Drosophila melanogaster: one gene and its partner. The gene in region 1 interacts genetically with each later gene. Each region holds a gene or a part of one and is shown on either strand. Other genes may lie near its edges.

The links. Genes that interact genetically often act in the same process or in processes that back each other up.
Region 2: of Bx (region 1) and CG11893, changing one enhances a phenotype caused by changing the other (phenotypic enhancement), as found in Drosophila melanogaster (one study listed by BioGRID).

What each region holds. Positions count from the first base shown.
Region 1 is NC_004354.4:18,564,335-18,568,090, reverse strand, and holds the start of Bx (beadex), read right to left. Parts: upstream 1,786-3,756; 5' UTR 1,680-1,785; coding exon 1,467-1,679; intron 1,396-1,466; coding exon 953-1,395; intron 581-952; coding exon 455-580; intron 1-454.
Region 2 is NT_033777.3:25,288,017-25,291,772, reverse strand, and holds CG11893 (uncharacterized protein), read right to left. Parts: upstream 1,885-3,756; 5' UTR 1,847-1,884; coding exon 781-1,846; intron 718-780; coding exon 533-717; 3' UTR 407-532; downstream 1-406. Other genes in the region: CG31098 (uncharacterized protein), read left to right, coding at 1-25, 84-277; CG13658 (uncharacterized protein), read right to left, coding at 2,897-3,081, 3,147-3,675, 3,734-3,756.

The DNA of each region.
Region 1 (3,756 bases):
AAGCTCTCCAGAGTGACATTTCACGAATTGGCCAAGTCCAATAAAATATTTGAGGCCTTGGAATGCTGGGCGTTGACTTGATGGCACCCAAAAGGGTTCGGTTCGTTCGGTTCGTTCTGTTCAATGCGAAATTTATGCGGTTTTCATAGAAAACGTATGACACTAAAGGGCCATTCTTCCCACCCCGTTTGTTTAGCCGTTAGCTTGTAAACGATGGCAATTTGCTGTCTGGCGGCACGTTAATAAAACTTCAAGTGCCACTTTGGGCCCGCTCCGATGGGCCAAAGATTAAAAAGGGATTCATGTGGCCACCTTCAATGCGAATCTCTGTGCAAATTGCCCATAAAAATGCATGCGAAATCGTTTAGTCGCTTCTCCCACACAATGGATGATGTATGGTCTGCCCCACAATGGGGCAATGGGCCAGTTTGGCCAAATTCCTTTCGATGCTCACCTGTGGTTACACTGCTGACAAGCGAAGCACTCCAAGTGATAGACATTGGTCCTTGCACGCATCACCATCTCGAAGGCTGGGATCACCTTGCTGCAGGCGGCGCAGTAGCCCGTGTTGCCAAACAATCTGCGGGGAAAAGTTATGAACAGATTAGTAAAAAGTTTGAAGTTTATATGGTTTACATGGTTCTGACTTCTTTAAGTAAACATCTTTACTCTTTGCTATTAAATTGAATATGCGTAAAAAAAAGCTTTAGGTAGAATAGGTACTGTTTAAATATAAATTACTCTTAGCAAGAAAGCTTCTTAAAGTCTTATAAAACTAAAAATAAGTCACAGAATATAATGAATACTTTATCTATAAGCATTATAGACCTGAGTTCTCAAGAATTGGTATCATTTTTAACTTCTAACATGACTAATGAATACCATCGTCTATTATACTTCTAGGTATATTACACTATCAAATGGTTTTAGTATTTCTTAAATCGCAGCTAACCTCAAGTAGTCCCGCTTGCAGAGCATCAGGTTGCCCTTGGTGTAGAGCGTGGAGCCCACCTCGCCCAGGCGGCAGTCGCAGCAGCCGCACTTGAGGCAGTCCTCGTGCCACAGCATGTCCAGGGCGCGGAGGAGATAGCGGTCCTGGATGTGCTTGCCGCAGCCGGCGCACAATTGGCTGCCGTTGTTGTTGTTATTGTTATTATTGTTGGCAGCGGCGGCGATGCTCTGGACATTCCCGTTGCCATTGTTGCCGCCACCGGCACCGCCGGAGTTGACCACATTGACCACGTTCCCATTGCCATTGGGATTGGGCCCGTTGTTCTGGCCACCGCTGTTCATGCCGGCGTTGCTTTGCTGCGACTGCTGCTGCTGCTGCTGCTGTTGGTTGGAGGAAAGCCCGACGAGACCGGGTTCGGTTTTGGTAATGTCCATAGTCATCATCTGCAAGGGGACAGGAGAAGATATAGTTATTACTCAAGGTTCCATCGCCGGAGTTTTGTGTGTGTGTGTACATTAAGGCTACCGAATCCCTGGTAATAACTGTAAGCGGAAGGGGCAAATCCCCAGGGCCACTGATAAGCGTACTGGGGCACGTATTGCCGCAGGATCGCCTGCTGCTCCAGCTCAATCGACTGCACGTGGGGCACGAAGAACTTGTCCATGTTGTAGAAATTGACGCGTTCTTCATCTTCGCAATGCATACTAGCGTTGTAGAGGTACTCCATTTCGATGTTTTCCTGTTTCCTTCGATTTCAACAGTTTTCTTACAAAAATGACCCGCGAAAGATCAGAAAGCTACTGAGTCTTCTTCTAGCAGTGTTGGCAGTGTTGGCAATACACAAACAAAATAACATTTTATGGCGTGTAAACTATCGTATGCTACTAAGTTCTCAAAAGAAAATAGCTCTTTTGTAAATAAGATGCACTAATCAATGCATTGGACTCATAAAAATAGTTTGGTAATTGTATTTTTGTTATATCAAATAAATTTTTTATAGCATTTTCCTTATTGTAAATTTCTTCAAGTGTCGGCCACTGGCAAAATGTAACGGCAATTATCAGCTGTGGCACAGTGTTGTGAAATGCGCGCCTCTGCGATGGCGTCAGTGTACAAAAGATCACTATTATGCAGCATACTTTTGGGCTGACCACTAAAGTGCACATTGGATTCGCACACAATTCGCAAACTATGCAAAATATTAATACCCCTTTGAAAATGCAATTTCCACAATGAAATGGTGTAATATTCATATTTTCATGACATATTTTCAGCTGAATAAAAAAAAACTACTTCTTCACTTGGGCTCGTCCGGGAATTGAACCCGGGACCTCTCGCACCCGAAGCGAGAATCATACCTCTAGACCAACGAGCCTCGTTGAATGACCCGCTGCTAATCACCCAATAAAAAGTTAGCGATCGTTTTTCGTACTTTCTCCTTTCGTTCAGCACCTTGCTAAGAAACTCAACCAGCGATGTTAAGGAACTTGGAATTTTTTTTTTTGGCCAATTACGATAATATCCCATATTTTTGGACTCTCTTCAAATAGTGCTCGTAGCCCCCAACATAGTATGTATGTATTATCCTCAACTGTTGTCGCCCGATAACGTTGACGTTAACAGAAACCAGCAAAGCGAGCAGCCAACAACAACAAATCAATACAAACAAAAGGCCCATTTACCCATACACAATTTCGTGGAATGCCAAGCGGCGATTTAAAATAACGAGATTTATGACAAATTGGCGCCCCCCATCCCTTGCCAACGCTAAATAGTTTGTTGCAATGTGCAAATTTCAGCAAGCAGCGAGGAAACCCTAAAAATATGCAATGCCAGCGATGCCGCAATGCACTCACTACACTGAACAATGCGGGGAATCATTGCATCATTTTTTTTTTCAAGAAACAACAAATAATATTTAATATTTATATATAAAAACAAGAGATAATTGTGTTCCTAAATGTCCTTGGCACAAAGTAAGAAGCTTATTTGGAATTTAAAATAATCTGCCTGTCAGCGAATCTCTTCAAAGTTTCAGTAGAAACTTTAAGTACTTTCACATTTTATTTTTCACAGTGCATCATTCTTTGCCCGCCGCAGAAGTTGTACACACAATGTGTGCCGTGTCTGGTTCTGCCTTTGGCCGCCTCTCTTTTCGCTGATTGCCCTCGTCCGTGTCCGTTGTCGTCCCTTGTCCGTTGCCCCTGTCCGTTGCCCATCGCCGGACAACCGGGCCAAATGGCTCGCATTAAGCCCTGCGCCATGTAGCGCCAACTGTGACCTCGACTTGACCACGGCCCAGAGAGTGGGCGTTGTGGGTGTAGGGGTTATGCAGCTGCTGGAAATGACTTTAATTAGACGGTCGCCTCCGATCCCCAATACCCACGTGCCCCCTCCCATCGCCAGTGAGTCGTCGGAGGGCGGGTCGAAAAGTCATCAGCAGTTGATGCCCGCCGGCCAGTCGACGGGGGCATCCAGAATGCCAGATGGGTTGGTGCAAGTGGATGCCTGGGTGGCTGCCACTGGACTGCTGCGCCGCCGACTCATAAAAATTCAATCAAATCAATTTATGTAAATTTAACGCGACGTTTCAAACAATAACAGGACCGGACTGGTGGACCGTAGGAGTGCAGGCCGGGAAATGGGAAATGGGGTATGGGGTATGGGGTATGCAGCGCATCAAAACTCAATTTTGGCAGCTGCAACATGCAACGCCAATGTGGCAGCGCAGACTGCATTGTTATTTAGTTTAGACAAATGAAATCGAATGCTAAACGCTGCTCGGAAAAGCGCGCGTCCATATT
Region 2 (3,756 bases), on another chromosome or scaffold:
GAGTTGATCAAGACCAGTCTTATGGGTATGATCATCATCACCATTTATCTATATTGGTTTTCATAATGACTCCACCATTATAGGTGTCATTGGCGCCACTTGCCTGACTCCACTGATCTTCAGGGAGGGAGCTGGTTTCGAAAACCTTGAGGATCTGAACTCACGCACTGAGAGCGGTGATCGTTTCCGCCGGGAAAATGTTGAAAACCCCAAGTATCGGGCTTTCCTTCAGCGAACTATTAAAGAATTCGAGCTATCTGGATTCTTGGATGAATAGTGACAAAGGGCTAATGAAGATTGCGTTACATTCGATCAAAAGTATTCGGGCTTCCACATACAGTAAGCTTTCCAGACAAATATTCCATGAGTATTTTACACCCAAATTAAAAAAAAAGAAAAATTTAATTTGATGATACGTTTTGTTATTTAATTTAAAGCAAAAGGAAACCCTAAAAAATTACATGGTTCATATAGTTGCGATCAATTAGCCATGCAATATATACACATTTTAACTGATAGCTTTAAAAATAGATCAAAGATCGTTAAAGTATCCCATTTCCTCATATTTACCCAAAAGCTTTTTGACATCTTGAACATAAGGGTCATAGAGGTATGATTTTTGTCTGATTTCCGGATCTTGAATTAACTCGTGTATTTTAAACGTATTCGCTTTAACGGCCACAATCATTGGCGAAAAAGTGGTTAAAAGGAAGAAGTCTGTAAAAATATTGAAGTGGTTAGGCTTATTGAAACTAGGCGATAAATAAAATAGGCACTTACCATAAAACTTGTGTCGGTGTATTTGCTTCCACAGACCATCATTGGTCGGCATCTTGCCCTTGTAGCCAACTTTTTTTAACGTGTCCTCCAAAACCGAAAAATAAAAGTTAATAAGATCCTTTCCGAGATCCCATCGCTGCTCTGGCTCCATGAGCATGTACACAGAATAACTCAAATCGATTGTAATGGGACACAGGTTACAGATTTGGAAATCTACAAACATGACCTCCTCATTTTTATTGAACATCATATTTCGGCCATGAAAATCTCCGTGACACATCACGTAGTATCCATCGGATTGAACGTTCTTGCGATATTCCTGCATTACATCACCCATACGCTGTATGTAGTTCTCTTTTATTTTCTCAAAGTGTGGCTTGTACTTTGTAAGTTCAGGAATCTGGTCCATCATTTTCAAAAAGTTGTCCATTCCAGTAGTAACCATTGGATCCGACATAATAGAAGGCATTTCCATTAGCCCATACTTGAAGTCTTTCAAGATATCAGGTTGCTCATTCAAGACTTTCATGCTAACAGCATGCCATTTGGCCAGTTTGGAGAAAACATTTTTGTATTCGTTCATGTTTATTGGACGATCTCGGATCACGAAGTATCCCTGCGGCACCAAATCCTCGAATATTAACACCTGCCGAGGCTCTAGACTGTGGTAGATACAGGGCACAAATAGCTTTGTATCGTCGCCTGCCTCCCGGAGAATTCTCTCGAATTCGGGCAGAGCCTTAGTGTAAGCATTAATCTCGGTGGAGAACAAATGTGAGTCGCTAAGCATATCCTTCTTGTGTCCTTCTTGTTCTGGCATCGTTTTAATGATTAGCGGCTTACAGAACTTTCCTTTCGAAGTGGTATACTCAGCAGTAGTACGGAACATTACGCTTGCGTAGTGATCTCCCTGGGCACTCGCCGGAGTGATTTTAAGATCGGTAACCTCCAGTTCCGGACACTTTTCGTAGGTTCTAAGAACGTCAGTAATAAACTGGGCATTCAGCCATGCAGGAGCCTCCAGCTCATCGGCATTAAATTGCTCGGTATCTGCGTTTTCTGGCATTTTTATTTCGCGCTCTCAACAAACAATTCGGAATGATGTTTGATCTGGGTATACTAAACCTTCCTATGTGCCCACTTATTATAAAGGCTGGCTAAGTGAGCTTTCGAAAGCGGCTTGAACCTTTTAACACGAAACTTTTCGATTTTGTGTGAAATACGTCTACTCAATGATCTTATCAATATGCATTGAAATCTGTTCTACAGGACAAATACTGTGATCAATAGAAACTTACAAATAAATCAGATATTTATTCTGTTCTATGAAATAATATTTAGGTCAGGTGTAAGAAGTATAAAACGCTAAAAATGTTTAATGTTAGTCCAGCTTACTGGATTATCAAATGTTTGAAGACGAATTAAATTCAAGTTTGCCCGATTTTATACAATCGTGATACAGATTTTCAAAATAACTATGTTGTTTCACTATAACTATATTTTCGAAACTGCATCTTGACAGAATGTAAGACGTAAGACCGTAATCCTTATGGCCATGGATATGCTTTTAGATTCCTGGAAGGGAACATATCTCCCTGAAGCCCACTTTTTTCAGTTTGATGTTGGAGTAAATTGGGACAATGGTATTGGAGCGCATATGTGTAGCTGATCTTGAAATCACTACTGCCACAAAGACCTCTGTTTCCTTGTTCTATTCTTTAACATCGTGTTCCGAACATGATTAGGATAATGACTTTTTTGATTACTGAATGACACATTGCCAACTTTAAGTTTATAATTTAACAGCCCTATCCGTCATGATGTGAAGTCATGATGATGTCAGCAATATTAATAAAACAAATTCCAAGATTTTATTTATAATAATAATATACATATTTGGTAAACGCAAGAAACGGATTTCAGTAAATATATATAAGCAATAAAATAATAAATGTATGTTTTAAATGTTTCTTTTAGAATTTCGAAATCAATAGCGGGAAAGAACTTTACCTTGAATGCATGCAACTTTACACGTATATGTTTGTTAATAACGAGTGCAATTATGTAGGTAAATGTGAAGTTATTTTTTTATTTCAATTAATTTTATACAATCGGATTAAAGATCTTTAAAATATCCCAGTTCTTCGAATTTTCGCAATAGCATCTTGACATCCGTAATGTATTCATCCAAAAAGAAAGACTTTTGTTTCGTTTGCGGATCAAAAAATGAATCCATACTTTTAAATGTTTTCGTATTCATGGCAGCCACCAGGGGTAGAAAGCTGGTCATCATGAAGAATTCTATAACGATGTAACAAGGAATAAGCATACAAGTCAACAGCTGTCTTTCAATTTTAGTTCCTTACCGTAATCCTTATGGCCATGAATATGCTCCCACACTCCTGTCTGAGTTGGCATTTCACCTTTGAAGCCTATTTTTTTCAGAGTGTCCGCCAGAACAGAGAAATAATAATTGATATATTCCTTTCCAAGATCCCAACGATCCTCCGTATCCATTACCATGAAGATGGAGTAAATTAGGTCAATGGAAAGGGGGCAAACATTACTGATCTGGAAATCCACCAGCATTACGTCCTCGAAAGACCCTGTTTCCTTGTTATACCTAAACATCATGTTGCGCCCATGAAAATCCCCGTGACACAGCACGTAGTACCTATTTGGCTTCGGATTAGTGCGATATTCTTCCATGACTGCACTCATCTGCTGAATGTAGTTATCCTTTATTTTTTCGAAATACGGCTTATATTTCGTGAGTTCCGGAACCTTGTCTAACATTTCCAGGAAACAGGGTACTCCAGTTGTCACTATAGAATCGTTCAGAAAGTTGGGCATGCCCCATAACCCATACTTAAATTCCTTAAGAAAGTCAGGTCGCTTGAAAAGAAAAGTTCTTACTTTGTTATCTTTTGCAATGGATGGTGCACTAGTTCACCTCATTTAAAACTTTCATGCTGG